4 linked regions of the Pelodiscus sinensis genome follow. The protein of the gene in region 1 purifies or fractionates together with the protein of each later gene. This does not show direct contact. Links are inferred from orthologs where the notes say so. Each region holds a gene or a part of one and is shown on either strand. Other genes may lie near its edges. The genes, in order: ERLIN2, TMUB1, CANX and TMEM259.

What was found.
Region 2: the proteins of ERLIN2 (region 1) and TMUB1 purify together in Homo sapiens (affinity purification with mass spectrometry; 4 studies listed by BioGRID and IntAct, with this or other methods). This does not show direct contact. The link is inferred for Pelodiscus sinensis from reciprocal best matches to the Homo sapiens genes ERLIN2 and TMUB1.
Region 3: the proteins of ERLIN2 (region 1) and CANX purify together in Homo sapiens (affinity purification with mass spectrometry; 4 studies listed by BioGRID and IntAct, with this or other methods). This does not show direct contact. The link is inferred for Pelodiscus sinensis from reciprocal best matches to the Homo sapiens genes ERLIN2 and CANX.
Region 4: the proteins of ERLIN2 (region 1) and TMEM259 purify together in Homo sapiens (affinity purification with mass spectrometry; 3 studies listed by BioGRID and IntAct, with this or other methods). This does not show direct contact. The link is inferred for Pelodiscus sinensis from reciprocal best matches to the Homo sapiens genes ERLIN2 and TMEM259.

Annotation. Positions count from the first base shown.
Region 1 is NC_134738.1:14,904,357-14,911,850, forward strand, and holds the start of ERLIN2 (erlin-2), read left to right. Parts: upstream 1-4,387; 5' UTR 4,388-4,427; coding exon 4,428-4,484; intron 4,485-6,298; coding exon 6,299-6,420; intron 6,421-7,494. UniProt on the Homo sapiens protein: Component of the ERLIN1/ERLIN2 complex which mediates the endoplasmic reticulum-associated degradation (ERAD) of inositol 1,4,5-trisphosphate receptors (IP3Rs) such as ITPR1.
Region 2 is NW_027466049.1:4,589-12,650, forward strand, and holds TMUB1 (transmembrane and ubiquitin-like domain-containing protein 1), read left to right. Parts: upstream 1-5,005; 5' UTR 5,006-5,221; coding exon 5,222-5,697; intron 5,698-6,829; coding exon 6,830-7,184; 3' UTR 7,185-7,582; downstream 7,583-8,062. Other genes in the region: FASTK (fas-activated serine/threonine kinase), read left to right, coding at 7,969-8,062. UniProt on the Homo sapiens protein: Involved in sterol-regulated ubiquitination and degradation of HMG-CoA reductase HMGCR. Involved in positive regulation of AMPA-selective glutamate receptor GRIA2 recycling to the cell surface.
Region 3 is NC_134727.1:34,174,845-34,182,604, forward strand, and holds the start of CANX (calnexin), read left to right. Parts: upstream 1-4,729; 5' UTR 4,730-4,870; intron 4,871-5,084; exon of another isoform or gene 5,085-5,243; intron 5,244-5,661; exon of another isoform or gene 5,662-5,686; intron 5,687-7,760. UniProt on the Homo sapiens protein: Calcium-binding protein that interacts with newly synthesized monoglucosylated glycoproteins in the endoplasmic reticulum. It may act in assisting protein assembly and/or in the retention within the ER of unassembled protein subunits.
Region 4 is NC_134729.1:16,439,903-16,447,002, reverse strand, and holds the start of TMEM259 (membralin), read left to right. Parts: upstream 1-3,900; 5' UTR 3,901-4,169; coding exon 4,170-4,406; intron 4,407-7,100. Other genes in the region: uncharacterized protein LOC142818988, read right to left, coding at 9-252. UniProt on the Homo sapiens protein: May have a role in the ERAD pathway required for clearance of misfolded proteins in the endoplasmic reticulum (ER). Promotes survival of motor neurons, probably by protecting against ER stress.

The sequences.
Region 1 (7,494 bases):
CCAGGATTATTACAAGTAATATTTACCTTTGTGCTAGTTCACATCTTGATACGGTTAAACACGTGGCCACAGATGGTTTCCCATTTAGAATAACAATATAGCTTGAGCATTATGAAGCACAACCCCGTTGGTGAGCCAAAAAACACCCTGCCTTTAAAAGGCTATTACTTCTAAATATTATATGTATTTTGTTTCAGCTCAGAGCAATTTCCTAGTTTACTCTTATTAAACCAAGAGGCAGTTGGGCAGCAGTTCTTGATTTATGAAACACATACTAGATCCATTAAAACCTTTAAAAATTTAATACATTTTATCAAGAGCTTAAATCTGGGCAAACATTTATAAAATCTAATACAGGGCATATTTCATCCCAGGTGCCCTTTTGCGCTTATTTAAGAGCTGTAAAATTTGAATTGACAAATATTGCAGATATTTCACTCCTTATTTCTAACTGGTGCCGAATTCTTCTGACAGGTTTGTTATATACACCCTGGGAGATCTATCAAGTGTAAAGATCAAATTATTCTCCTTTATTGACATTTTATATGTCTTTTCTATATTTCTTAAGTCCCCTTCAACAATTACGGACGCTGAAGATTTAATATATTTTTGCATGGTCTGTCACTTTTCTTATTATTACTACTCAGTCTGGCCAAACCTGCAGTGGAATAGGGAACAGATTTTTTTAAATCGCCTCCAGATTTGTCAGACAAGGAAAAAGAGAGGCAAAGAATTTGTGACATGGTCTAGCAGCCACTTCACAGCTTGAGATTGACATTGGATTAGTGTCAGTCAGGTGGAATTCAGGAGGTTTTGATTTCTAAAGAAACTCAGCTGAAATCTTTCCCATGCAGAGGGACAAGGAAGGCAGGTGGAATAGAATGTATCCATCGCAGCCTCGCTGTGGGACGAAGCCAGCCCCCCGAACAGCTATCTATTCCCCTCCCCACCCCATTGCTCCTAGCCCTATTGTGGGGCAAAGGTTCCTTCAGTCTGCTCCTGCCTGAAATTTTGAGCCTACCTTAGCCAAAGACCTGTCCAAGGCCACTTCTCAGCACTATGAATAGATCTGAGTCACTTTCATCCACCCGGAAACTGAACAACAAACATCCCAAAGACAGCGTCTCCAAGCTGCACAACACCCACCATAGCACCAACAAGGCAGCCAGCTTTAACTAATTAACTACCAATTAACCAACTAACTCACTCTTTGGGTATGTCTACACTGTCGTTTTTTCCGGAAAAAAGGCTATTTTTCCAGAAAAACGACTTACGTCCACACTGCTATTGCGTTCTTTCGACAGAAAGTCAAAAGAACAGAGAGGTTTTTCTGATAGCAGTAAACCTCTATGAGGAAGAAGTCTTTTTCTGGGGAGCTTTTTCAGAAAAAGGCATGTGTGGACGCGGAAGAGAGTGTTTTTCGAAAGAAGAGGCCTCCAGGAAAAAGCACTCTGTCCACAGTAATCACAGCTGAAATGCAAGATAGGGTCCATTCAGAGTGGACGCTCTCTTTCAAGAAAGCAGATCACTTTTCCATTGCGCTTTTGCTGTGTAGACATGCTCTTTCAGAAGAAGTTTTTAGGGAAGATCTCTTCCAGAAAAGCTTCTTCCAAAAGAAGCCTTCAGTCTAGACGTAGCCTGAAGCACCTGGCTTTCCTTGGTCCCAGCAAGGAGATCACAGCCATGGGCTCTGGCAGCAGGTCAGTTCCCAATGTGGAGCAATTGCTACAGTCCACAGGATGCTAAAGACACTCTTTTTTTTTTTTTTTTTTGCATTCCTTTCAAAAAACTGAAACTTGTATTTCAAGAGATGTTTGCAGTGTGGCTGTAGCCAGGTTGTGGGGTAAAAGCTTTTATTGGACTATCTGCTGGTGAAAGAGACAAGCTTTTGATCATCCCAAGAAAAGCTTGAAAGTTTGTCTCTTTCACCCACAGAAGCTGGGTCAGTAAAGGATTCTCGCCCACCTGGTCTCTCAATTTCCATCACCTTGCATTCACCTGGACTGCTAGCTGGCTTTGCATGTACTCACTCAGCAGTACTGCATGCACTGACTTTCCCAGCATGGATTTGTGCATGCAGCCAGTCCGCTGAGTTCGACTGTACCCCAGCTGGCTTCAGGCAGAGGTTTCACCCAACACTCTTACAAATGTTAATTCACTGACTGTAGCAGTCAGGCATCACCGGGGGCAGCCTGACAGGTCTCCTGCTTCTTCAGTGTTGACAACCGTTCAGCTGTGTGCGTTCATGCGTTTGCTACCCGCTAACTGTGTTGACCCTGCACAATTAGTCAACACAGCAGACTCCGAGAGAGCCCCCAAAGACCACAGAATCAGATAAGGATCGAAGGCGGCAGACCAGGTTGATTGTAGGTGAGATACGGTCCTAGCTTCTCCGGATCAAAAGGTCTATAGTTAGGCTAACACAGGCATGCCCTTTACAATGGGTCGACGTTGCTTTATTTGAGCAAAGTCTTCACTATTGCTCCTAGGCCTCAGGCCTTATGTTTCAGGCCTGTGATACAGTAGCGTATGTTTCAGACCCTCATCTTACTATATGGACTTTCACTGCAGCCCCCATTTTACAGATGCAGAAACTGAGGCGCAAAAAGGCTGCGGGTAAAATTTTCGAAAGCATGTAAGAGCTGCCATGAGGGGTCAGATCATGGTTTATCCTGCCCCATATCCTGTCTCCAACATTGGCCGGTGCCAGAGCTTCAGGGGATTGTACAGAAAAGGGCAATTCTAGAGTGGTCCAGATCTGTCTTCCAAACCTGGCTTCTGGCAGTCAGAGGTTAGGGTCACCCTGGGCACAGGGCTGCATCTCTGGCCATCTCTGCTAAGAGCCATTGATGGACCGACTGTCCTCCCATTTCAATGGAGACTTAGGAACCTCTGGAAAGAAAATGACTTCAACTCAAAACAAAATGATTAGCACCCGTCCATGTGGTCAGTGTGGCAGAGCTGGGACTATAAATCATACACAGATCTATGGGCCCTATAGTAACAGACCTGGGAACAGAACCCAAGACTCACGGGCCATAGGGATGAGCCTGTTTTGGAAAGAGGCATAGGAGCGTGGCAAACTGATGGCCACATAGCAAGTGAGCATCGGACCCAGGAGTCCGGGAGTCCACAGTGAATTGTTGAGGGAGCCAGGAAATTGACCCAGACGCCTGGGACTGCAGGCGGGTGGGCGCAGGAGCCAGGCATGTGGGGCTGCAGGCGGGTCAGTGCGGGAGCCAGGCGTGTGGGGCTGCAGGGGGGTCAGTGCGGGAGCCAGGCGCGTGGGGTTGCAGGCGGGTCGGTGCGGGAGCCAGGCGCGTGGGGCTGCAGGCGGGTCGGTGCGGGAGCCAGGCGCGTGGGGCTGCAGGCGGGTCGGTGCGGGAGCCAGGCGCCCGGGGCTGCAGGCGGGTCGGTGCGGGAGCCAGGCGTGTGGGGCTGCAGGCGGGTCGGTGCGGGAGCCAGGCGCGTGGGGCTGCAGGCGGGTCAGTGCGGGAGCCAGGCGTGTGGGGTTGCAGGCGGTTCGGTGCGGGAGCCAGGCGCCCGGGGCTGCAGGCGGGTCGGTGCGGGAGCCAGGCGTGTGGGGCTGCAGGGGGGTCAGTGCGGGAGCCAGGCGCGTGGGGTTGCAGGCGGGTCGGTGCGGGAGCCAGGCGCGTGGGGCTGCAGGCGGGTCGGTGCGGGAGCCAGGCGCGTGGGGCTGCAGGCGGGTCGGTGCGGGAGCCAGGCGCGTGGGGCTGCAGGCAGGTCGGTGCGGGAGCCAGGCGCGTGGGGCTGCAGGCGGGTCGGTGCGGGAGCCAGGCGCGTGGGGTTGCAGGCGGGTCGGTGCGGGAGCCAGGCGTGTGGGGTTGCAGGCGGTTCGGTGCGGGAGCCAGGCGCCCGGGGCTGCAGGCGGGTCGGTGCGGGAGCCAGGCGTGTGGGGCTGCAGGCGGGTCGGTGCGGGAGCCAGGCGTGTGGGGCTGCAGGCGGGTCGGTGCGGGAGCCAGGCGTGTGGGGCTGCAGGCGGGTCGGTGCGGGAGCCAGGTGCCCGGGGCTGCAGGCGGGTCGGTGCGGGAGCCAGGCGCGTGGGGCTGCAGGCGGGTCGGTGCGGGAGCCAGGCGCGTGGGGCTGCAGGCGGGTCGGTGCGGGAGCCAGGCGCGTGGGGCTGCAGGCGGGTCGGTGCGGGAGCCAGGTGCCCGGGGCTGCAGGCGGGTCGGTGCGGGAGCTGGAGCTGGAGCCAGGCGTGTGGGGCTGCAGGCGGGTCGGTGCGGGAGCCAGGTGCCCGGGGCTGCAGGCGGGTCGGTGCGGGAGCTGGAGCTGGAGCCAGGCGTGTGGGGCTGCAGGGGGCGATCAGGCGCGGGCCCTTGGCGTGAGTCTCTAGCTCCCCCTGGCGGTGTCGCCGCGGGAACTGCAGGCTCCAGGGCCGGGGGGCGGGGCGGCGGCGCGCAGTGATGACGGGATCCCCGTCACCGCGGCGGCGACGCACCCGGAAGTCGTTGCCGCCGGCGGTGAGTGCGGGCAGCCTCGCTCCTGGCTCCCCGGCCCTGCCCCCCCCACTGAACCCCCCCTTTTCAGAGCCCCTCCCCTCCACCGAACCCCCTTCCTGGGGCCCTTCCCCCCACAAGCTCCCCCCCCCGCGAGCCGCACGCCAGGGCTGGGACTCCCTGTCCCCTGGGGCTCGCCCCCCCCGTGGCTGTCTGGGGGTCCCTTAGGGGTGGGGGGGACACGTGGGGACAAGGGCCCCTCCCTCGCGTCGTGGGCTGCGCGGGTGGAGCCGCCCCGCGTGGGGGGGGAGGCGAGGGCCCCCCCGCATTGGCTGTGGGGTCCTTGGGGGGCCCGAGCTGGGTGTCGGGTCGGTCCCTTTCCCCCCAGAGCAAAGACACCGGCGCTTTTTGGAGGCAGGCGCTCGGGTGCGAACAGGCCTGCTGGCTGCCACGCTGGCCCAGATCAGGGTTTATTGGCCCAATGCCCTGCCTGGGCTCCTGGGGCCGATTTCCGATGCTTAGTAGAGTCCTAGAATAGAATCCCAGGGCGGACAGAAAACTCAGGAGGTCATTGTGTCCAAGCCCCTGCCCAAAGCAGGACTAATCCCAACTAATTGATCCCAGCCAGGGCTTTATCAAGATGGGATTTAAAAACCTCCAGGGATGGAGATTCCGCCCCCTCCCTGGGGAACCCAGCCCAGAGCTTCCCCACCCGCCTAGAGAAATAGCTTTTCCCAATATCCAACCTAGACCTCCCCCGCCGCAACCTGAATATCCAAACTAGACCATAAGATCCTATGTAGTCCCATGCATGCTCTGACATTTGCAAATAGTAAATAACAGTTTGTTTTCAAATAATATTCAATTACTATTCTGTGGGTGCAGCTCAGTTACAATGACAGTTACAATGTTTCATTTGGCAGCCTCTGTCATTTAATCAGGATTGCAAGAGGCCTTTTGTCCCGTTGAGGGGGTATATAGCACCTGGAGTTAATGTGTCCACATCAAACACACTGTTTGCCAAGAGTCCTCTAGTGCACCTGTACATGTTGCCAGGATAGCAGAGCAGCTTTAAACTCCGTGGAGCTTGAGCCTGGAGAATGCTAATAACGTGAAAGAAATGTAGCCGTGTTAGTCTGGTGTAGCTGAAACAAAATACAGGACTATGTAGCACTTTAAAGACTAACAAGATGGTTTATTAGATAATGAGCTTTCATGGGCCAGACCCACTTCCTCAGATCAAATAGTGGAAGAAAATTGTCACAACCATATATACCAAAGGATACAATGTTAAAAAATGAACACATACGAAAAGGACAAATCAAATTTCAGAACAGAAAGGGAATGGGGGGGTGGGAGGTAAATGTCTGTGAGCTAATGATATTAGAGGTGATAATTGGGGAAGCTATCTCTGTAATGGGTAAGATAACGTGAAGTGGAAGTTGCACTAGGCTTTCCTTTAACTATACCCGGATGCGGTGGTGGCGGGGGGAGGGTGTCTTAAAACTGATACTTTAATCAAAGCACAACAGGAGAGAGATGTCTGAGATGTTGCCGAGGGGTGGCTAGAGCAGCAGATGGAACTTCTGAGTTCAGTTCCCAACTCTACTATAGATTCACTCCATGACAACGGGCATGCCAGTTCACTTCCTCAGTTTCCTTATTTATAAAATGGGAGTAAAACTGACCCCTTGGGAATACCTATGGGACTTAATTTCTGTGAAGCACCCTCAGCTGGAAGCATAGTTATTATTAAATCTAGTGTTAGTATTAGGCAACGTGCATTTGGTTAAATATTTCTCAGTCTCTGATCTCGTGCTCTATGTCCCTTTGCCCAGGCCGTGCACTCAGGAATGGCCCAACTAGGTGCGATAGCGGCCCTGTCTCTTAGTTTTCTGGCTGCAGCTCTCTTCTCTGCAATTCACAAAATTGAAGAAGGACATATTGGCGTTTATTATAGGTAAGGCATGCATCTGGAATATTGTTTGGGTCACAATATTTTGAAACCATTATCCAGTGGCTTCCCCCGTCAGAGGCCAATTTACTGTCAGAGTGTGGTGGAGTTGGGAAAGACAAAGTTTGCGATCCCAAATTGGCAGAAGGCACACCGGCAGTCTTAGAAATGATCAGTGATTCCGCATTAATATGAAAAACTTGTGAACCATCCTCCTTCACCTGGATGTAAAGTCTGAATTCAAGCTTCTGTGTTATCCCCAGAAGAGTTGATGATGCCCCCAAATCCTAATATGGGAATAAGGATTGCAGCTCTCTGCTCTGTGTCAGGGGCTTGTGATGTTAGCTATGTTAGGAGAGAAACAGAAGTTTGGGTTCTGGTTTGAGATGTCTGGCAGGTGACTGGAGAGTGAGAGATGTAGATGAAAAGTGCGGAGCTGGCAGCCACAAGGATTTAAGTCCTCTGTTCATCCTCTGATAACATACAGCATTGGCATTGCTTGCTTCCCTTCTAAAAAGTATGCCCTGAGCTAAAGGGACGTCCTTTGTGTGTGAGAGCAATTCGGTCTCCATGACTCATTCAACCCTTAGCAGCTCTGATGAACCTGCCAACCGAGGGGCTGACTAATGACAAATGTATTAACATGTTTTAGTGATGGGAGACCCTTCCACTAACTCGTTCCACATAAACTAATGAACAGCTGTTGCATTGTAACAGCTTTTGGTTACTGGATTTGAACCAATGGCTTGGAGGTGGAAGGTCCAAATCTAATGGCACTGATTTTCAAGTATTAATCTTAGGGTATATTTAGTTTGTCTCCATCTGCTTTGGGGTTATTTATGTCTTTAGAGATCATTCATTCTGAAGGTGTGTTTTTCCATGTTTTGATCATGAATTTGTAAAGGTTTTCAAATCCACAATCCTAATGCTGTGTGTCTGACTCTTAGTTAGCGGGTGACTTTTCACACCCTAACTGGCAATTAAACGTGGCTTGTGACAAAGCAAAACCAGCCCTCACAACCACAGAGAACAGCTTTTCCTTGCTTATTGACAATAGGGTGAACTTGAAGGAGAATAGTG
Region 2 (8,062 bases), on another chromosome or scaffold:
CGCGGCTCTCGGGACGCCCCCGCCGCCTGGCTCTCGGGACGCGGCTCTCGGGACGCCCCCGCCGATTGGCCCTCGGGACGCGGCTCTCGGGACGTCCGCGCCGCCTGGCTCTCGGGATGCGGCTCTCGGGACGTCCGCGCCGCCTGGCTCTCGGGACGCGGCTCTCGGGACGCCCCTGCCGCCTGGCTCTTGGGAAGCGGCCCTCGGGACGCCCCCGCTGACTGGCCCTCGGGACGCCCCCGCCGCCTGGCTCTCGGGACGCGGCTCTCGGGACGCCCCCGCCGCCTGGCTCTCGGGACGCGGCTCTCGGGACGCCCCCGCCGCCTGGCTCTCGGGACGTGGCTCTCGGGACGCCCCCGCCGCCTGGCTCTCGGGACGTGGCTCTCGGGACGTGGCTCTCGGGACGCCCCCGCCGCCTGGCCCTCGGGACGCAGCTCTTGGGACGCCCGCGCCGCCTGGCCCTCGGGACGCCCGCGCCGCCTGGCCCTCGGGACGCCCCCGCCGCCTGGCCCTCGGGACGCCCGCGCCGCCTGGCCTTCGGGACGCCCGCGCCGCCTGGCCCTCGGGACGCCCCCGCCGCCTGGCTCTCGGGACGCGGCTCTCGGGACGCCCCTGTGACGGCGCGATGGGGTTCCCCCGTCTCCTGCACCCCGAAATGGCACAAACAGACTGCACCAGCCAGTGGAATAGAGGAAGTTTATTGCCTCTCCAGGATACAGCACAGCACAGATGTAATCTGGTCACAGAGCTGGGCTAGGATGCCTCAGGCCCCCTTGAGATGGGGGAGACTGGGCCCCTAAACTCCAGCCCCTTCCCCTAGGCTGTCTCCTCCATGCTCCCAGCCAGCAACTAAACTCACCCTCTTCCAGCCCTGCCCCCCAGCCAGGGCAGCATCCACCTTCCTTTGTTCCTCTCCATGGGGGGTGTCTGACCACTGGTTCAACAAGTTTGGCCTTCCCTCTGCCTAGTGAGGTTTTCCCTGCTGGGTCTTGCTCCAGACAGCAGGGGTCAGCACAGCCCAGCAAGTACCCCCACTACGTCACAGTTCTCCCCCCTCCGAGAGCGAACTGAGCAGGGTCACTCCGCTCGTGACCTAGGGAAGTTCGGGTCCTCTGCGTGGGAACCCGCCCTGGGGACATGGGTGCTCCCCTTGACTCAGGCCGGCCGTGGCGAGGCCCCACATGAGCTGGCTTCCCTCTGTCCACTCGCCGCCCCGCTCCAGGGCGACTGGCACAGGCCTGTCCTCGGGGGTCACACCCACCCTTCCACTGGCCTTGATCTCTGGCCAGGGTCTCTCGGGCCGGGGCCATGAGCCCAGTGAGCCTTCTCTGGACAACCAGGGCGGCTCCCACACCCGACGCTCCATCCAGGGAGGACTTCCCCTCCCATAACTCTCTCAGCAAGCCCAGAGGGTCTATCTGGGGTAGAGACCCCCAAGCCGCTTTCCTCCTGTCTTGGGCCTTCCCGCCCCTCTGGCAGGAGTCACAGGACCGGCAGTACCGCTGCACGGCTGTAAAGATTCCCGGCCAATAGAAGTGCTGGAGCAGCCTCAGCCGGGTGCTCCGGATCCCCCGGTGGCCCCCAACGGGGACATCGTGGGCCAAATACAGCAGCTTGAGGCGATACTTTCGGGGGACGACCAGCTGCCGCTGGACCCTCCATGCCCTCACCTTCCTGGGGGGAAGCCATTCACGGAACAGGAGCCCACGCTCCACCAGGAATCTCTCCTGGCCACCTCTCCCACGGGGCTGAGCTGCACGGAGGCCAGCCTGGTCCCTCAGCCTCTGCAAGGAGGGGTCTGCCTGCACCTCTGCCTGGAATTCAGCTGCTGAGGCAGGGATCGGGACCTGTTCCCCACCTTTGCCTAGGTCCGGAGTCCCAGCCTGGCTGGACCCCGTGTCCACTGGGATGGGACCCTGAGGACGCTGCCAGGAGTCCTTCCCTGGACCCACGTTGTCAGCCCCCCGCTGGCTCTGGCTCCGGGTAGTGACTAGAGCCCGCTGGGATTCATGGGGCCACTCCTCTAGGTCATTCCCCATCAGCACCTTGGTGGGCAAGTGCGGGTGCACCCCCACTTCCTTGAGGCCTTCCTTCGCCCCCCATTTCAGATGCACCCGGGCTACAGGCACCTTAAACGGGGACCCGTCTATGCCCTTCAGGGTCAGCTGGGTGTGGGGTAGTATCCGGTCTGGGGCCACTATGTCGGATCGGGCCAGAGTCACCTCCGCCCCCGTGTCCCAGAAGCCCGTCACCTTCCTACCATCCACCTCCAGGGGTATGAGGCACTCGCTCCGCAGGGGCCGTCCTGCCCCCACCCGGTACACGGAGAAATCCGCCTCCTGAGAATCAGACCTCCCAGGGGAGGTGCACTGAGCACCCTTCCCCTCTCTCTGAGCTGAGGTTTGCCTGCCAGCCCCTGCCTCTGGGACAGCCTGCCCTTCCTCCCGCCCCAGCCAGTTAACCCTGGAAAGTCCCCGGTCCTGGGACCTGGTGCACTGAGCCCTCTTGTGGCCTTTTTGCCCACAGCGATGGCAAGTTAGGCTTTGGGCTGTCTCTGTCCAGGCCCTGGCTGGTTCTCTGGGGCACAGACGACCTGTTCCTTGGGCTCGCCCCGTAGTTGACTCTCTCCGTCGCTCAGCTGAGATCCGGTCTCTGCGCGGTTCCCTTTCTCTCCGGGACTCCCGTTCACACCCGGACCGGCTCTCCGTGAACTCATCTGCCAGCCTCCCGGCCTCCTGGGGGTTCTCTGGTCTCCGGTCCTTGAGCCACAGCCTCAGTTTGGGTGGGCACGCTTCATAGAACTGCTCCATCATGACCAGCCTGAGCAGCTCCTCTGTGGTCTGGGCTCCGACTCCAGACACCCACTTGCGGCAGTATTGCGCCAGGCGGGAGGCCAGGTCCACATAGGTCTCCCGTGGCCCTTTCTGTACCCCCCGGAGCTTCTTCCTGTACATCTCGGGGGTCAGCCCGAACTTGTGCAGCAGGGCCTCCTTGACTCGGTTGTAATCCCCTGGCTGTAGGTCCTCCAGCTGACTGAGCACTCCGGCCGCCTCCTGGTTCAGTGCGGGGATGAGCTCCTGCAGCCAGTCAGCTGGGGGGACCCGTTGCAGTCCACAGGCCCTCTCAAAGGCACTGAGGAACCCGTCTATGTCACCCATGTCCTTCAATTGGGCCACCACGGGCCTCTCCAAGCATCTGGCAGTCCTGGGACCCTGGGGCCCATCCGCACTTGGCGCAGCCGGTGCCCCGCCGGTTCTCCGCTCTGCCATGGCCAGCTCATGCTGTCGCTGCCTCTCTCGGTCCTGGCGGTCCCTCTCTCGGTCCTCTACTTCCAATTCCCTGATCCGCAGCTGGATCTCCAGCCGCAGCAGCTCCGCTGGGCTGTCCCCTGCCCTAGATGGGCTATTACTTGCAGGCCTCCCGGGAGACGCTGTCTCATCTCTCCGGTGGGTTCCAGCGCTCCTCCCCCCCTCTGAGCCTGACACACTCTCAGGAGGGGTCTGGCTGCTCCCCCTGGGGACAAGATCCTGGCCCTGTGGCTGGTCATTCTCTTCCAGCCGGGCAATCAGCTGGGCCTTGGTTGCTTTCCCCACGGGCAGGCCCCTCTCTCTGCACAGCCCCACCAGCTCTGCCTTCAAGAGTCGGGCGTAGGCCATCTGCCCGCTGGGCCCCTCGGTGCAGACTCACCAGTCTAGTGCTGCAGCGCCCCACGATTCCCAGGAACCACTTCTCTCTGCCTCCAGCACGCCTGGCTCCAGGGCTCTTGCTTCTACAGCGCCTTGTCACTTGCCACTGGAAGCTCCATCCACGGGGTGCAGTGCATCCCGCTCCTGACACCAGTGTGACGGCGCGTTGGGGTTCCCCACCTCCTGCACCCCGAAATGGCACAAACAGACTGTACCAGCCGGTGGAATAGAGGAAGTTTATTGCCTCTCCAGGATACAGCACAGCACAGATGTAGTCTGGTCACAGAGCTGGGCTAGGATGCCTCAGGCCCCCTTGAGTTGGGGGGAGACTGGGCCCCTAAACTCCAGCCTCTTTCCCTAGGCTCTCCTCCATGCTCCCAGACAGTAACTTACTAACCCTCTTCCAGCCCTGCCCCCCAGTCAGGGCAGCATCCACCTTCCTTTGTTCCTCTCCATGGGGGGTGTCTGGCCACTGGTTCAACAAGTTTGGCACTACCTCTGCCTAGTGAGGTTTTCCCTGCTGGGTCTTGCTCCAGACAGCAGGGGTCACCACAGCCCAGCAAGTACCCCCACTACGTCACAGCCCCGCCGCCTGGCCCTCGGGACGCGGCTCTCGGGACGCCCCCGCCGCCTGGCTCTCGGGACGCGGCTCTGCCTGGCCCTCGGGACGCGGCTCTCGGGACGCCCCCGCCGCCTGGCCCTCGGGACGCCCCCGCCGCCTGGCCCTCGGGACGGGGAGGGGCAGTGTGGCAGGGGAGCTGCGGATGGGGTGGGTGGGGGCTGGTGTGGCAGGGTAGCTGCGGGTGGTGGGGGTGGCGGGGAGTGGGGGGGCCGGCGTGGCGGGAGAGCTACGGGCGGGGGGGGCTGGCGTCGGGGGGGAGCCCAGCGTGATGGGGGAGCTACGGACAGGGAGGGGCAGGGTGGCAGGGGAGCTGCGGGGGGGTGGACGGCCTGACCGGAGAGCTGCGGGCGGGGGGGGGGCGGCGTGACGGGGGAGCTGCGGGCGGGGGGGGCGGTGGGCGGGGGGGGCCGGCGTGACGGGGGAGCTGCGGGCGGGGGGGGCAGCGGGCGGGGGCTGGCGTGACGGGGGAGCTGCGGGCAGGGGGGGCAGCGGGCGGGGGGGGCCGGCGGGGCGGGGGGGGGCCGGCGTGACGGGGGAGCTGCGGGCGGGGGGGGCGGCGGGCGGGGGCTGGCGTGACGGGGGAGCGGCGGGCGGGGGGGCGGCGGGGCGGCGGGCGGGGGGGCTGGCGTGGCGGGGGAGCTGCGGGCGGGGGGGCCGGCGTGACGGGGGAGCTGCGGGTGGCTGAGCCCCACGTGTCGTGGCTGAGCCAGAGGAAGCTGGCGGCCAGGCCCCCGAACTCGGTGCCAGGCTGTGGGGAGCAGCGGGGCCGGTTGGCCCTGCCCCCCAAGCCAGGAGCAGCGGAAAGGGGCTCTCGGGGGCTCTGGCTGCTGCCTGGGCGGGCCCGGGGCGCTCAGCTGCTGCTCTGTCCCTCTGCAGGCTGGTGACCCGGCTGTCCCGGCGCTGGCCCGCGGCCATGGCTCTGATCGAGGGCGTGGGGGACGAAGTCACCATCCTCTTCGGCCTGCTGCTGGTGCTGCTGGTGCTGGCGCTGGCCTGGGTGTCGACGCACACGGCGGAGCGGGCGGACCAGGTCTTCGCTGCTCCCCCCAGTCTGGCGGCTGGGCGGCTCGGGGCAGAGAGCCTGCTGGAGGAGGAGTCCCGGGAGCCCGGCGCGCCGGCCCCAGCCGCAGGGGGGCCCAGGGAGACGGCGGAGCCTTCGGCAGGTGCCGCGCCAGATGGGCCTGAGGGCACGGCTGCAGGGCTGAGGCACCGGGCCAGCCCCGGATCTGCACAGGGGCCCCCGCAGCCGCCCGAGGGCCCAGGCGCCAGCCCCGAGGCCGTGGACAGTAGCCCCACGGAGCGCGGCACCGTGCTGCGGCTGAAGTTCCTCAACGACACGGAGCGCCTGGTCTCCGTGCGCCCAGACGAGACGGTCGGCTCTCTCAAGAGGTGAGGGGCACGGCCGCCCTCTCGCCTGTGGGAGGGGAGAGGCTCTGGCATCCCTCGGCCTTGCTTGGCCCTCCCTCCCTGGTGCTGGACATGGCTCTCCGCTGCCACCCCCCGGCGGTGAGCCTGCGTGGTAGCCTGAGCCTTGGCAGCGCTGGTCACGGGAACAGCGAGGGCACCCGGCAGAATGCCAGGCCACGGAGGCGATGGGGGCTCCTGGGAGGGAGGTTGGACTGTGCAGGCTGAGGCGTTGAACGCGCGCTCGCCACGCGGGGGCTGGGCCGCGCAGTGGCAGATGCAGTTCCGTGCTGATGGGTGCACAGACCCGAGCGCGCGCACCGCCGGGGACTGACTGGCTGTTCCCACGCAGCCGTGGCAGGAACGTGGGGCCCCTTGGGAGGGGTAGGTAATGCGACAGGAGGCGTTCTACGGCTGCCACGGGGAATACTGAGTGCAGGGCTTCTTGCCAGCCTTCCCTCATCTCTCCCGTCCACGTGTGGAATCAGTTTTCTGGTGTGCACTAAGCGTGTGGGCTGTGCACCACCAGTAGAAACACGCTGCTTGCGATGGACGGCTGCGGGCGCTCTGCCAGCCAGCTGGTGCTCAGCGCACAGCGAAGGCTGCTGCTCATCCCGTCTCAAAAGCTGTATTTGAATGGGAGAAAGGGCCGAGAACCACGGGGCCGTGGTCCGCTCGAAGAGAGGCTGGACGAGAGGAGAGATTGCAAAGACTGGGACTGGCAAAAAGACGACTCTGGCGGAGTCGACCAGTCCAGAAGAGCGGGGGGGTCAGAGCAGTGTTATTTACCGCTTCCCAGAACACAAGGCCCCGGGGCCACTTAGCGACGTTAACACCAACCAGAAGGAAGGGCTGCTTGGCACCGCGCACTGTCCATCTGTGGAACTCCTTGCCGGGGGCGGCGTGGCTAGGTAAAAGCTGGATGAAAACGCACTCGGTCAGTTCCCGGAGCCAGGGCGGTCAGGACACAGCCCCTGCTCCAGGCCTGGTGCTGGGAAGGGATGGCGGGAGAGATCACTCGGCCGCTGGCAGACAGGACCCTGGGGGAGCTGGGCGGGGCCGTTCAGAGGCTCCCGGGGGGCTGGAGTGACGCTGCCCTCCTTGTGTCTCACCACAGGGCCCATTTCCCCGGCCAGGAGCACCAGGTGCGTCTGATCTACCAGGGCCAGCTGCTGCGGGAGGATGCCCAGAGCCTGGCTGCGCTGCATCTCACCCACAACAGCGTTCTCCACTGCCACGTGTCCCAGCATGGCCCCGCCCCCGTGGCTGCTGGCCTCCGGGCCACCGCGGACCCCGTGCACACGGCCCTCAACGTGGGCAGCCTCATGCTGCCGCTCTTCGTGCTCATGCTGGCTGCGCTGTGGTACTTCCAGCTGCAGTACCGGCACGTCTTCACCGCCACAGCCACCACCTGCCTGGCGGGCCTCACCCTGCTCTTCAGCTTCGTGGCCTTCGCGCTGTACCGCAGATAGCGCTGCCCCTCCGGCCGCGGCCTAGCCCCATGCTGCCCCCAACGGGCTCGGGGCTTGTTTGGCAGGGTGGGGGCAAGGCAGGACTGGCCGGCCGGGTGTCACCTGGTTCTGCTGCCGGAGGTGCTGTGCAAATAGAATCTGCCCAGACGCCCGCCCTTGCACGTGCTTGTGCGCAGACTGGGCACGGCTGCCCCGCACGCTGGCTGGAAGCCGGGTGCCCTTTTCCCTGCGAGCTTGAGTGGGCGGGGTCCCCGGGCCGTGGGGCCCTTGCAGCGGGGCAGTCGTGCTGCACGAGGGGCCTGGTGGGGGTCGTGCTGGCCTGGCTCAGCCGCGGGGGGCTAACGGAGCATGGTTCTCATTAGTGCTTCTTTTCAAATTAAAACCTGTGACTGACTGAACTCTGCCTGCCGGCCTGCTGTGTGTGCGGGGCTGCGCGGGGGGGGCAGAGGAGGAGGGGGCATGGGCCGGAGAGGGGCTGGGCTTTCCAGGGCGGTAGGGGAGGGAGACGGGGAGTGGGGGGCAGGGTGTGAGGGGGATGGGAGGGAGCAGACAGAGCAAGGAGGGGAAGGTAGAGGCGGAGCGGTGGGGGAGGGGGTATGAGTAGGGGTGGGCCGGGGGAGGGGAGCGGTGGGGGGCGGGGGAGGGGGTATGAGGAGGGGGTGGGCCGGGGGAGGGGTTTTGAGGAGGGGGAGGGGCCGGGGGAGGGGAACGGTGGGTCGGAGTGGGAGGGGCGAGGGCGGAGGAGCGGCAGGTGGGGGCGGGGTCTCGGGAGGGGGCGGGGCAGATGGGGGGGTCGCCGGGGGCCGCGAGCGAACGCTCACCCTCATTAGCATATGCAAATCGAGCCCGGCCTCCGCGGCGGCGGTGGGGCGCGGCAG
Region 3 (7,760 bases), on another chromosome or scaffold:
TCCTTTAGACTGCAGTTAACCAGTGACTACAGGTAAACTTTCTGATGTATGTATTTTAAAACACCAACAATGACCTCCTGTCATGGAGCTGTGTTTTCCCTGTGGTGTCTGTCATCTCTCTCGCTTTCATCACCCGTCTTGGCATTCTTTGGGTGGATCTCAGTAACCTGTGCTTGCTTAAACACCAACTCAGCCAAAACTCTGGTGTGTGCTGCTTTTCAGTATACCCAAAACAGTTTTACATTAACAAAAAAAAATCCTGTTATACCCTGACCTGGGCAATACATTCAGACACTACTAGCACAGCACCCATCCTTTGTTAGAACAGGCCACTCAAGTGGTATCTATCTAGAAGTTATGGTTAATGGTGCTAGCAGTCTGTCTCAACTTTCCCTAATTTTTGATCCCTATTTACTGCTAGCCTACACTGACCTTTTTGTAAGCTATGCAGAGGGAATAGGAGCAAGAGACTCCTTCGTTTTCATCCTTGCTGTGCCAGTAATTTCTTGTGTGATCTTACAAATACTGCTCCTCCTCTCAGTGTCTCAGTTTCCTATTCTAAACAATGGGGAACAGTACTTTCCCCACTTCACAACATTGGTAGGAAAATTATGAAGCTCATGTTTGCAACATACTTATCATTTACATAACATTTTACATCTACGGTGCTATATCTTGTTTCAGAGAAATGAATGCAGCATAGCTTAGATTTTTCTGCATGATATAGAAAACGTTATCAGAATTTTACATCAGTATTGTCTCAGTGGCACGCATAATAAACTGGGCTGTGTATGTGCATAACTGCCATCTACTGGATAGAATTGGAAGAGCCCAACAATGAATCACAAAACGGTGTTCTGCTATTGGAGAGTCTTCTTTTAGTTTGTATTTGTGGAACAAAAGAGTGGGAATTCTGTCCTGACTGTTGCAGTGAAGTCCTAAGTGGTGAGCAGCACAGTAATATATGTGGAGACCAGGTATGCAGGTATAAAAATGTCATTTAAAAAAAATCACACCCCAAGGCCTCAGATGTAGTGCTAGGATGGCCATTGACAGATCTCCAGAGTACTTCTTGCATGGTGTGGGCCTGCCACCTGCCAGAATGGCCTCTCAAGGACAACTAGCTCCTACTGCATGCCCCGTCAGTAGTGACACCAGGGCTGTGTCTACATTGGCGCTATCTTGCGCCAAAGCAGCCGCTTTTGCACAAAAACATGCTGCCTGTCTACACTGACGGGGAGTTCTTGTGCAAGAACACTGATGTTCTAATATGTGAAATCAGTGCTTCTTGCGCAAGAACTATGATGCTCCCGCTCAGGAATAAGCCCTTTTCCACAACTGTTCTTGTGCAAGAGGCCAGTGTAGACAGGCAACATGAATTTCTTGCGCAAGAAAGCCCGATGGTTAAAATGGCCATCAGAGCTTTCTTGCACAAGAGAGCATCTACACTGGCACGGATGCTCTTGCGCAAAAGCAAATCTCTTGCACAAAGGCACATGCCAGTGTAGATGCTCTCTTGTGCAAATACTTTAACGCAAGAACTCTTCCATTAAAGAGTATTTGCGCAAGATCATGCCAATGTAGATGTAGCCCTGGACTGTCTGGCTTAAAACTTTCAGAGGGTTAGCCAAGTTAGGCTGTAACAGGAAAAACTTAAAACACAACAAATAGTCTGGTAGCACTTTAAAGACTAATAAAACACATAGATGATATCATGAGTTTTCGTGGGCACAGCCCACTTCTTCAGATGACTAGAGAATGGAAGGCCTGCCTAGATCCTGCATGTCCTCTTTTTAGGCTTGCTCTCAGTTGGTCACAGCTCTATGTTTTGAGGAGTGGGTTTTGGGTAACGTACAGTGCTCAGGATGAAAGGGAAGGATGTGCAAGTGTGTTGAGAGGTGTGTTATCAAATTGCTGTAACTGTCTTGCAGTTACAGATTGGCAGACTTAGGCTGAAGAAAAAGACTAGCAGCAGGCAAAATACAGCCTGTTTGCCACAGCCTCAGGCCACTCAAAGCAGCCAGCTGCTGAGGCCTTGTGCGTCTAGGCACTGTGTACCCCTTGCAGAAGTGGGGGAAACTTTGTGCGCTGCCCCCACCCCCAGCCCAATCATCACAACTCCCATTGGCTGAGATTGTGCTGGGGGTAAGGGCAGCATGTGAAGTCCCTGTCCCGTCCCCGCCCCGCAGCACAGTGCAGAGGAACATGGCCCCAAGCAGCCAGCCACTTTGAGCAGTCTGGGGTTGCCTGAGTCCCACTGGGCAGCTGACAAAGCACTGCCTACCAGCCAGAACCTTCATTTGGCATCCCACCCCCTCCCATACCCCAACTCTCTGCCCCAGGTAACCACCCAAATCCTTGGCACCCCTCTGGTACCCCTACCCCAGGTCACAACTCCCTCCCAGACTCACGTGCCCTCCTATGCTTCTCTCCAGTCTAGAATCCTCTCTTGCACCGTGTGACGGGGTTTTGGAGCGTAAGCTGCCGCCGCTGAGGGCAGGGCCCAGCGAGCCCTCCCTCTGTCTGTCTTAACCTCCCCGGGTCGGCTATATGGGTGCGAGCCTCTGCCCCAAGTCTGAGGGCAGGGCCCTGTGGGCCCGCCAACCCTGTGGGGACTCTGGCCCTCCCTGTAAGAACTTTCTCCATCAGATTAGGCTTGTGGATGGATGAGTGGATCGAGGAGGTGTAGGGGGACCCGGGCCCTCCCTCTCCACTGGGTCCCAGCCCGGGGCCCTTAGGGTGGGCTTGGCCGTCCCTACCCAGCTGATGGGGATTCCACCCGAAGCTCTCCAGCCCACAGGCACCAGAAGCGCTGTGCCCTGGGCTGCTTCCTAACACCCCCTCGACTATTGGGTCCCTCTTTGGGGACCCCAAGAGTTATCCTTCCGGCGGGTCACGATGATCTCTGCGCGGAGTTCTGGTTTGCCCGGCCACTTTCCAGCTTTTGCCACCGAGGAGGAATGAACCGTTTCCCCCGATTCTGCAGGCTGTCCCCAAAGCTGGAGCCACCCCTCCATCTTCTGCTCTCGTCCTTTTCAAGGGTGCCGCCATGTTGCGCTTGGGAGCATGGTTCTGCCCCCTGCCGTAATCCCCACAGGCGTCCAGCCCCGGGCAGGGGTTCCTCCCTCCTCTGGGAGGGCCTGTGTTGCTACCGGGGCTGGCCTCAGGGCTGGGGTGGTGATCGGGGTCCCGCCAGGGGTGGCCCTGGCTCGAGCCACCCCCCCACTTTCCCCTCCGTCTGCCGCTACCTCCTAACCTCTGCCCCAGGTTGGGCCCTGCCACGGGTGCCACGCGGGATGCCGTGGCGGCGCTCGGCTGCCCCTCTCCCCGGCCATGATCGGCTGCCACGGCTTCCACGCGGCTTGCAGCCAGCAGCTCAGCCCCCGCCGCACTCTCCAGAGTGCGGGCTGTGTCCGGCCCATCACACACCTATACCCCCTTCCTGACCCTGCACCCCCTACTTTGTACCCCAATCTCCTGCCCCAGTGTACCCAAACCTTCTGCACCCCTCTCCCAGGTCAGAGTCCTCTTCTGCATTCAATCCCCTGCCCCAGGTAACACTTCACTCAAACTCCCTCTCACACCCTGCACCCTCGCTGCACTCCAGTCCCCTACCCTGAGCTCCCATTTATTCCCATCTCTGTGCCATACCATGGCATGCCCTCCATAGAAAAGTGCAGCTCTTGACCACTTACCAAAATCTTGGAGTGGCCCCCCCCATCAAAAATTATTGCCCACCTCTGGAACAGACTGAGGGATAACAGTTCCTTGGTTGTGCCTTAAGCACTAGCCCCTATGCAGATCTCTGCCAGCTGTCCCGCCCCACCTCCTATGTTGACCTCTTCCAGCCCTCTCAACCCTTGCCCCAGCACTAGCCCCCAGAAGCAACTGGTGAGGTAGTTTCCAGGGGGGAAAGCAGCCATATGCTCCCCCCACAACCTGAGGAAGGCCTGGAACAACCCTCCTCTGCCCCAAGCCCTGCCTCTCTCTACCCCTTCCCCACCCTTGTTCCTCTCCCACCCCATCTCTTCCTTCTGCCACACCACTTCCAGTGAGTGTAGGGGCAGTCCCACCACTCCCCAAGAGCAGCACCAGCAAGAACTGCCTTACTATGCTTTCCCCGCATCAGCCCTGCTGGGGAGTGTGTGCGTATGGGCTCCAGCAGCTGTTGCTGGTCAGCCCTTCAGGGGTCAGTGCCGCCCTCCCCCTGCACTCATGGATAGTGCCACAGCAGAGAAAGCCTCTGCTAGTTCCCACCACCCCTCCCAGCATTGGCCTCTTATGGCTTCTTAGCAGAGCACTCACAGCTGGGTTTTGATTTTACTGGTGGTGCACATTTGCATGTGCCTCAGTGCACATACAATTATTCTGCACATGGACAGAACAGAGGGAACATTGCTGCCAGCTCCCCCTTCCCAGCACTGGCCCCTATCCTGGCCTAGCGGCTACACTGCTCCCAGGAGCAAGGACAGGACCTAGGCACCGCTCCTTTAAGAAACCCAACGCTTCCTCCTGCAGGAATCTGATTCTTCTTCTCTCACGCTCCACCCACCTCCCCGTGTTAGCCAATCAGCGCACACTTCCTGCGCAAGCGGCCAGCCAATCACCGCGCTCCACGAAGGGCAGCGCCGTAGGGGCGTCGCTTAAGACGGGAGAAGCGGCGCCATTGACCAATGGGAATGCGACATACGCTCCGGCGCGGGAGGTCGATTGCTGGCTCAATCAATGGGGAGGTAGGAGTGGGGCGGAGCTAGCGCGCGGTAGATAGGCGGGCGGGAGGGCAGGCGCGCGCGCGGGCGGCCGCTCCGGCTAGGACACGTGACGGGGGTGTTGAGGCTGCGGACGGCGGCTGCGGGGGGCGCGTGGCGAGGTGAGTGGGGGTAACCCCCGCCCGGTAGAATCGCAAGGCCGGGCCTGCTTCTCTTCCCCCCCCCCCCGGGCTGCCGGGGAAGGCTCTGCCCGCGGGGCATGCTGGGGCATTGGCGGGGGGCGAGGGCGCGAAGGGCCGGGGGTTGGGGTGGCGGGCGCGGAGTTCGCAGGCGCGGGGCGTGGCAGGGCTCGGCGTGAGGGGGAGCGAAGCCCTGTGGGACGCGGCGGGGCTGGGCCTGTAACGGGTTTGCGAAGCCGGGGGGGGGGGGGGTCGGTGCGGCCCCCGCGTGTCCGTTGCCAGTCCCGGCTGGGAACCCGCCGGCGGAGCCCGGGACGGGCGAACGGAGGCCGGCGCGTGGCCAGCCGCGTCCAAGGTGCGCGCAGGGCTGGGTGCCGCGGCTCTTCCATTCCCCCCTCTGGGCTCGACCAGTGGCGGGCGAGGCAGCCCGTTCTGGTAGCTTCTTGTCGTGGGTGGGGCGAGCGACTGACACTGGCCCGCGTGGCCGAGGGCTGCGGGGGCATGTGCTCATCCCAGTGCGATGCGGCGCAGAGACTGTGGGCTTGGGCGGAGGCGAGGTGGAGGCCGAGCTGGTGGGGTTTTAATATGCGTACGGGGGAGGTGAAGTCACTAGGACTGGATCTGCCCTTGCCAAAAATCGGGGTGTTCAGAAATGGCTCTTCTGACCGGGCGTTTCTGCAGAGGGTGAAAGATGCAATCAGGACTGGAGCAGTATGACTGGAGGGAAACGGGTGGAAGTTACTGGAATGAAAGAGTTCGGACCACAGAAATAAGAGTGGAGGAGGAAACAGAAATAAGGTGTGGAGGAGGAAACGGAAATTAAACAATATGCCTAGTAAAAGGCATGTAAAACAAAGGTGACCTATAAAGTGCAGCACTTTATACAATTTAAAATGTATATCTCCTGAACATAGCTTCTATTTTTTTTTTTTAAAGCTGTGTGTCTTTTTCAAGGCAGTATGTAATGGAACCCTTGCTGCTGTTCATTGTGGTGGTCTGGCATCACACAGACCTTGAGTTAAAGTAGATGCTTTCTGTCTTGCTACCTCTAATCTTTTTAGATAGCTCTGAATGGGAAAGTAAAGGGAGAGTACTCTGGACTGAACAAGAAATGCAGCGATTGAATTACAGAGTAAGCAGCCATCTTCTTGGAACTTTTATCTGAGTTGACAACTGCCTTCGAGTATCATGTCTGCATAGAGCCTGAATTAATTTTTCATGGCAAATATCCAATAGTAGTAGTAGTAGTAGTAAATATTCATTAAAATGTGGAAGGTAATTGACTTATCTCTGTTAGCAGTGCTCTTTAGTTGCTGCAACAATTTTTGCAAATGGTTTTATATTTGCAAAAATATAGAATATAAAAATATTCTAGTCACACTAGAATGGTTTGCAGTTTGTGTGCACTTGAAAATCAGGCTTAGGAGTGTTCTTGACTAGAGGTGTGTGTATCAGTTACCTATCCTGATTTGGCAATATTGTTGTCTGGCTCTAGGTGTGGTGCCCCAGAGAACTTGAAGGCTGGTTTATAGGCAGAATGATAGTAACATCAGTGTGCGCTAGTGAAATTGGGGAGGTGACAACGCATAGGATAATACATCTTTGAATAACAACCACCGAGAACAATAAAATATTTGCATTTATGTTCAGTCTGCAGTTAGTTCTAACTTGCAAAACTCTCATAATGGTCTTTTCAAAGATACTATTAAAATCCAGCCATAAAATCACCTGGCTTCAGCCCAAAGTACTTTCACTTAATTCTAAAATTATTGTGTATAAACTTCTTAGACTCAATAGAAATGTTGTTTAAAATACACTGAAATTTCTCTACACCATTTACAATTGAAATGCTACAGTAATGGAGTAGGGCAGGCGTTGGGAACCTTTTTTCTTATCAGGGGCCATTGACCTCCAGAAAAACATCAATAGTGGGCCATATTCAGCTCTGTCAGGGAGGGTGTTGAGGGTTGGGCCAAAACGAGAACTTTGAAGTGTAGAATGGAGTTCAAAATTGGGATGTAGGAGGGGGTGAGGGCTCTGAGTGGGGGTGCAGGCTCTGGGCTGGGATTGAGGGGTTTGGTGTGCAGGAGGGGGCTCCAGGCAAGGAGTGAGGATGTGGGTTTTTAGAGAGCGTTTGGGTGCAAGAGGGTGCTTAGAGCTGGGGCAAAGGGATGGGATGTAGGAGCTTACCTCAGGCAGCTCCCATTCACAGTACTGTGGTGCTAAAGCAGGCTCCCCACCTGCCCCGATCCTGTACCTCTGCTGCAAAGCGGCCATAGCTGGCATTTCCCTGTGGTCCCTCATGCGGGGCGGGGGGCCGGGGGAAGAAGACAACACACATGCTGTCCTTGCCTGCAGGTGTCACCCCTGAAGCTTCATGAGCAAGTGGTGGTGCTGACAATTACAGCCTGGCCTGGGGGGGGGGCGCGGCGCAACACACCAAGGCTCAGGGCTTTTAGCCTGTGGCATAGAGACTTGATGCTGGCCAGATTAATTTAATCAGGGGGGTCTTTAATGTGACACCATCCCTACAGTTAGTTTTTAAACATTTCCCTTCCAACAGCTTCTGATCCTAAGAATTCAGTGTAACTTACTCAGTTTTTTCCCAAATAAACTTAACTTTGTCCCCTTCTTCCCTCTCCTGCCCATTCTGCATTTATGGCATTCATATTCCTGTCTCTTCAGTGCTTGTCTTCATCCATTTAACTTGGCACCATAATGGAAAACTCCACCTGGAAGAAAGGCTGTTGCTTTTGATCCCAAGACAAATTTGAGTTGGTTTGCAAAAGTGACAGCAAGACTGCTAAGTATGCTTTTCCCACTAAGTGAATTCTTGTATCTTGAGGTATTTCCATAATTTTTGTTATAAATA
Region 4 (7,100 bases), on another chromosome or scaffold:
GGCCGTACCTTCCCGCGGAGGCTGGCCCGGTGGGGGGCGGAACACCAAGTCCGTCCACGAGAAGTGGGGCAGCCTCGGCTGCGCTCTCGCCTCCGTCCGGTGCCCCAAGCCCATCCTCCGGCGGGGGGCGGGCAGCCGTGGGCGCTCGGGTACCGGTGGGGAGCGAGGGTGCGGGGGGGGGAAGCCGGAGGGAGACGCTGGAGGAGGCGGGGGGCTGGCCGTGCACGGAGGCAGGTCGGAGGTTCCCAGCATGGGCCGTGCCCTGGTGTCTCCCCTCTGGGCAGATCCATCCACCTGCCCAGTGCTGGGCTGCGCCGTGGGGTGGCCCCTGCTCTGCGGTGCCTGGGACAGTAACCAAGCAGGGGGCCGCTGCCGGGGGGGCAGGGCCGGTGTCTCTTAAGGTGGAATTGCTCACATGGGCCGGTGCAGAGGGTTTGGCTCATTCACAGGTTGCAACTTCCGACTCCCGGCTCCTTCCCCTGCCTGCAGCCCCAACGACCCCCGGATCCCTGTGCCCCCTGCACTGGGCGCCGTCCCCGATCCCTGCCTGTGACCCTGTTCCCTGCCAGCCTTGCTAGAGACACGCACGGGATGGTTATTAGCTCACACTGCTCAGCAGGGGCTTTACAGAGGAGCGCAGTAGCATCATCCCCATGGGGAAACTGAGGCACCAGGAAAGGGTTGTGACGTACCACTGGCAGGCCTGTGGGAGACGCAAGAATAGAATCCAGATTGCCCAAGCCTGTGCTCTAACCATTAGCTAGCACTGCCACCACCCCAAACTTCCCAGGACCTAGCCCTTACTTGGATAGACGCCCTGCCCCCGCACTAGTGATGGCCTCATACGCTCAGACGGGTACGGATCAGGGTTCAATTCAGAGCAGTTTCTGGAGGCCGGGGCCCCACTGTGCTCAGCGCAGGACGTATGCCGAGCAGGGAACCCTGCCCCTCCCTGCGGCGCTTACTGGCTGCTGTGAGCCCACGGCCGGCTTGGGTCACGCAGGTGGGGGCAGGGGGTGGCCACGAGGCGGTGCAGCCTCTGGGATGTATTGGTGCCCGGCAGGGGCAGGTCTCGGGCAGTGTTCCCTGTAAGCTGGGCACTTGGGCAGCCCCCGCAGGAGAGATTCAAATGCCACCCAGCTGATTCTCAGAGCACCTGCAGCCAGCAGCCTGTTTCAACTGGTGGTGCACATCCGCACATGCCTCGGTGCACGGAACAAAATTTATTCCCCCATGGATGGAAAAAATGAGAGGGAAGCCTGGTCTCAGAGCCTCCTCTGTAAGGTTGGCCAGAGATGTGGCTGCAGCCAGTTTCTCTCTTGCTGCCAGCATGGGGCTTGTGGCCCATGGGCTCGCAGGCAGAGGGGCTCGTGGAGCAGTGCGTGACTGAGGCAGGGATGTGCCGGAACACCAAGCCGGCTCTCCAGGTGCGCTGGCGAATTGCCAAGGCCTGGTGCAGCGTGTGACCGTGCAGCCCGGGCCTCCGGTGCTGCCTTGGGGATGGGATCCCTCGGGAACGCCCCCACTGGGGCTCCCCGCCAGCCCTTCTCGGGCGGCTCAGGCCTCCCGCCTGCTGGCGCCACCTTAGCTGAACACACACACACGCACACACACACACACACACACACCCCTAGGCCACTGCACCAGTAGCAACACAAACAGCCCGGATCAACAGAGAGCCCTGGCGCCAGCGTCCTTCCTACCAGCCAGGCAGGGGGGCCAGAATTCCCCGGCAGGCTGGCCTCACCGCAGGCTCATGGGGAGGCCCCAGGGGTCCCTCTCTCCTCTTGCAACCCTGGTGCCCCACGGAGTCACCCCGCCCACGCAGCAGGGGCCTTGTGTGAATTCATCCGTGCAGGGCCTCCCACCTGCCCGGCCCCTTAGAAATTAGCCAGGCAGGTGCCGCTCGCCCGCGCCTTGCTCGGCCCCGGCAACGTGCAGGCGGCAGGGCCCAGCTGTGGCCGAAGGGGCCTGGTGGCTTTGCCTGAGCGGGGGCTGCTGCTGTCCCGCGGGGCTGTCTGGGGGGTGTGCGGGGTTGTGAGCCCAGGCTCCAACTCAGCCTGGAGCCCTAGCCCAGGGCGTGGCCTAGGAGCGGCCTGGCTGTGACGGAGTCTCTGGCCTCTCCCCGTCTCAAGGCTGCGCCCCAGAGGGTGGGGCCGGCAAGCGACTCTAAAATACCAGGCCACTAAAGGAATCTGTTTAAAAAACTCCCCATGGTCACAGATTCCCTGGCCTTGGTGTGGCTGCCACCAGCCAAGGCAAACACCCCTTGCGCCCCCCAAGATGCACTTGGGAATTTCCTCCTATGGGTTACTCCAGCTCTTTAACCCTCTTTCCAGACAGCGCTTGGGAAAAACCTGCACTTCTCTTACTACCTGCCCTTGCAGTTCTAGGCTGCACAGAGCCGCCTGCCGGCTAGGACCCAAGGAGAGTTTTTGAACCAAACACAGAAGACCTACTGGGTAAAGTGTTACTTGCTTGCTGCGAGTTACAGAGCATCTGAAACACAGCAGCTTGAAAACACATTCGCAGTCAAGCCATCCCCCGCCTCCATGGCCCATCAGACAACCCAGACACACAACCCTCCCTGCCAGGGGCTGTTGTGGAGGGTCAACGTATAACTGGGTTCAAAGAAGAATTCGACATGCCCGGTCCGTCACTAGCTATTAGCCACGATGGCCTGGGCCCAGTGTTCCTTGAGCAGCTGCTCAAGAGAAATTCAAACGCTGCCCTGCTGATTAGCAGAGTGACAAACAGCCAGGTGATGTGGTTCTATTGGTGGTGCACATCGCACATGCCCCAGTGCACATCAAATTATTCCGCACGTGGATGGAAAAAAATTAGTAGGAAGGTTGCCTGGGACATAGCCCAATGCTCCAGGTGTCCTTTCAGAGGCTGGGAGATTGGCACAGGGTGGATAATTGCCCTGTTCTGAGCTGTGATGCCCTGCGCTGAGCTTTGGGCTGTAAAAGGTTCCTGGGGAGCAGCTGCCCCAGTGGATTCAGTAGCTGGGCGGTGGGAAGAACCAGGCGGAAGCCAGCCAGGCCCCAAAAATATGGAACGCTTCACGAATTTGCGTGTCATCCTTGCGCAGGGGCCATGCTAATCTTCTCTGTATCGTTCCAATTTTAGTATATGTGCTGCCGAAGCGAGCACGAATCTAAGTGAAACCCCGGAGCTATTTAAACCTCCAGAAGTGAAATATTTCTCCATTAGGGTGATTTGCCTCGTGTCCGCGCTGGGGTGCCTCAGTCACTAGTGAACGAACCACGCGGATCCTGATCCTCTCGGTGGCTTTTTTTCACTGTTCCTCCGTTTTAACGCTTTTAATTTCCTTTTTATTTTCTAACCAGGCTTCTTTCGCGGCGCATGCCGGGAACCACAGGGCGCGCCTTAGTCGAATATGCAAATAAGGCTAAAACGTAGGCCCGGCCCCTCTGGCCCGCCACCGTCCCGGCGTCCCCTGCGCAGCTGCCGCTCTCGGGCCGGCGCGCGCTCGTTGGCGCGGTGCAGCCTCCGGGCCGGGGCAGCAGGAGGCGGAAGATGGCGGCGGCGCGGGCCGGGTCGTGAGACGCGGCGGAGGGAGGCGGAGCGGGGCCCCCATGGCCGCGGGGCCGGCCCAGGAGCCGCGTCCCCGCCCGGGCCTGCCGCGGCCCCGCCGCCGCGCGTGACCCCCCCGCGTGACCCCCCCGCGTGACCCCCAGGGCCCCCCCGCGTGGCCCCCCCCCGCGTGACCCCCCCGGGTGCCCCCCCCGCGTGACCCCCGAGCCCCCCCGCGTGACCCCCCAGGGCCCCCCCGCGTGACCCCCCCCCGCCCCCAGAGGCCCCCCCGAGTATCACACCCGGGCCCCCCCCCCCGCGTTACTCTTCCCCCCCCCGTGTCCCTCTGCCCCCAGGGTCACCCCTGAGCTCCCCCCGTGTGACCCCCCCACCCGCGGGCTCCCCTCGCAGCGGTTCCCTCTGTCCTGTGTGAAGGGGGGGGCTGAACTACTCCCCCCCTCCCCCCCCCCCGGGCTGGTTCTGTCAGATTTGGTCTGGAACAGCACCCCTCCCCCAGCCGCTTCCCCCCCCCCCCCAAAAGGAGTCCGAGCCTCCCCCTCACCTTGGTGACAGGCCTGTGATCCCCGCGCTCCCGAAACGGCCGGGTGCCCCCGCCCCACAGGGCCAGGATGTCGGAGAACCAGCCCAATGCAAACCAGCACCAGCACCCGGTGAACAACAACGGGGCCGGTGGGGCTGCCGCGGGGAACAACCGGGGGGTGCGGAACCCCAACCTCAACCAGAACCCCCTGATCAACGTGCGCGACCGCCTCTTCCATGCCCTCTTCTTCAAGATGGCTGTCACCTACGCCCGCCTCTTCCCACCCTCCTTCCGCCGCATCTTCGAGTTCTTTGTCCTCCTCAAGGTGAGGGGCAGGGCCACGTGTGTGTGAACTGGGGGCACGTTCCACTAAGGATGAATAGTCGATTAACCTCACAGTTTATCAGTTAGTCGACTATTCTATAGTCCCTGAGAGTGGCAGCCCATGTGCTCTGGCCCCACTCCCGGGGAGTCCCCTGTCACCCTGCGCTGCTGTCTCTCTATCAGAGGCAGCAGCGCAGGGTGCCAGATGGGAGCTGGTCTGCCAGAGGAGCCAACTTAAAAACCAGCTCCTCGTGTGGACCGGCTTCCTCTCACCCCACTCTGTTGCCCCTGGAGATGCAGCCGCTCAGGGTTGCAGGAGGCTTCTCGGGAATGGGGTCAGCACAAGCTGGAATTGAGCGGAGCTGCCTGCCCACCTGGCTCCTAATATACTTTAAGTCAAGAGCCACAGTGGGGGGAGATCCTGGACCCAGCACAAGCCAGGACTGAGCCAGGCTGCTGGCCGGGCTACTAACAAAAATTACTGGCAGGGAGGGGAGGGAAATGCATGTAGTCTGTAGCATTAACCTGTGAGCGTTTGCTTATGGGTTAATCAACTATACTATTACATCTCTACTTTCTACATCAGTCTTCACCCCCTTGTACAGCTCAGTCAAGCCTGACTTGCTTCCAAACAGCTGTTAACCCACAGGAGAGATTGGCTGCTACCCTAGGATCAGTCACCTCACCCCACCTACACTGGCCGGAGAGACTTTCCCATCAGGCTGGTGTATTTTTCTGTTGAACCATTATATACGGTAACTGGGTGCATGGCTCCAGGTTGGGGTAGGTAGATAGTCTCTGGGCTTGGCAGTGGTGTAGGAACAATCTCCAACCATTAATAGATCTGTTTTCCATGACTAAGTATGTGAAACTTCCCTTGGGAGACGTATCCAAAGACTTATTCACTGCTGCCTTAGAACTGTACTGCTAAACCTACACACCTACATTTCCAGCCCATCTGAAGAGATGGGTTTTGCCCATGAAAGCTCATGATCCTACAGGTTGAACCTCCCAAATTCAGGTCTCTCTGGTCTGGCAACATCTGTGGTTCAGCATGAGAGAGCCCCAGAGCAGGAGGCCCAGCAGCTGGGAAAGTGGTGCAGCCTGGTGAGTCTAGCAGCAGCTATGCCGCAGCAGCCTGAGCAGCAACAGCAGAGCACAATCAGGGCTGCCTACTGCCCGACAGCAAGGCTGGGGCTGCAGCAACACGGGAGGGGAATCTAGGCTGGGGCCTTGGCGCAGCCTCGCAGAGGCAGCGTGGCTGGAGCCACGTGCCACCCAGCGGGGGATTGGGCCTGCAGCATCCCAGTTAGACATCGTGCCGCCCAGCTGGCAGCGGAGCTGGGACTGGCCAGAAGGCAGCCCGGCTGGGCCAAAGTTGCCAGCAGCAGGAAGGGACTGAGGGGCTGGTGTCAGGTAACCTCCCGTTGTCCAGCAAATTCCCTCATCCAGGACTGGTCAGATCCTGAGGGTGCTGGACCAGGGAGGTCCAACCTGTATGTATATTTTTGTTAGTCTCTGGTGCCACAGGACAACTCTTTGTACCTACCTTTGAGTTAATGCTGATTACGTATGGTATGTTCCATGTGCCTTAAACAAAACGTTTAACCTTAGATAATCCAAGCATGACACCCAGATGTACAGATCCTTTCCTCTTAACTTGTGTACCACGTGAATTTTTATTTTACACATTAGCTGTAATAGCATTTCCGAAACTTTCCTATCTAAAGTCACAGGTTCTAGTCCAACCTAGACTGATAGGCGAGTGCACACCACCATCTGATGGCTGTGTGGCCAATAGAAAATGATTTGGTGTTTTCAACGTGGTTTCGGAAAAGACAGTTTGGCTAAAATGGCCATCGGCGCTTTCTTGCGCAAGAGAGTGTCCACAGTGTAGACATAGCCCTGGTGTCTGGACTCCATTGATAGGGTGTTCAAAGTCCATGGTGTTCATATGGGGACCGTGGATCATTTTAGGATCCAGCTGGGGTTCCTGTCTCTCATCAAGGTCTGAGTTCCTGTCTGATGCTGGCTGTCTAAGGGGTTTGGGGAAGAGCAGGGGCCATGTTTTCTATTAAGTTGGAACTGATTACAGAAGGCTGTAGAATAGACTATCTAGGGAGGTGGCCCAAAGAAGGCTGCTTTGACTCCTTTTGAATCACTTTGTTTCCACATGATTTTAGCTCATGCAAAATCTAACTGAGGATCTAACTGCAGGATTGGTGGTATGAGAGTAACAGAGTTCAGTGCTATTGCCCCCCTGTTCTGATATGCCCATCTTGAAGCTATTTGGGCCTCTTACTACTCAGAAAATTGTGCAGTCTTTCTTGTGCTTTCATGGGAAGCATTCATTATTCCTAATTGCTTGAGGAAGTATTTTGTGTAGTTAAGAGAGAATTGTGTCTTTCAGTTTCTCTGTCAAAATGATTGAGTTTGGTCTTTTGGGTTTTTCAGCATGGCTTCAATCTTCCAGTCTGATGGCTGACTACTGGATTTGGGAAGAGTTTATCTGTGTTTTGGGAATTTGATCTGTAGTGTTAGTAGGGACTTGTGTACAGGCAGTCCCCGAGTTACGCGGATCCGACTTATGTCGGATCCGCAGTTACGAATGGGGCTTTTCTCACCCCGGAGGATGCGAGCGGCGGGACGCCCAGATGCGCCGCGGTCCCGCCGCCCGCGTCCTCCAGGGTGAGAA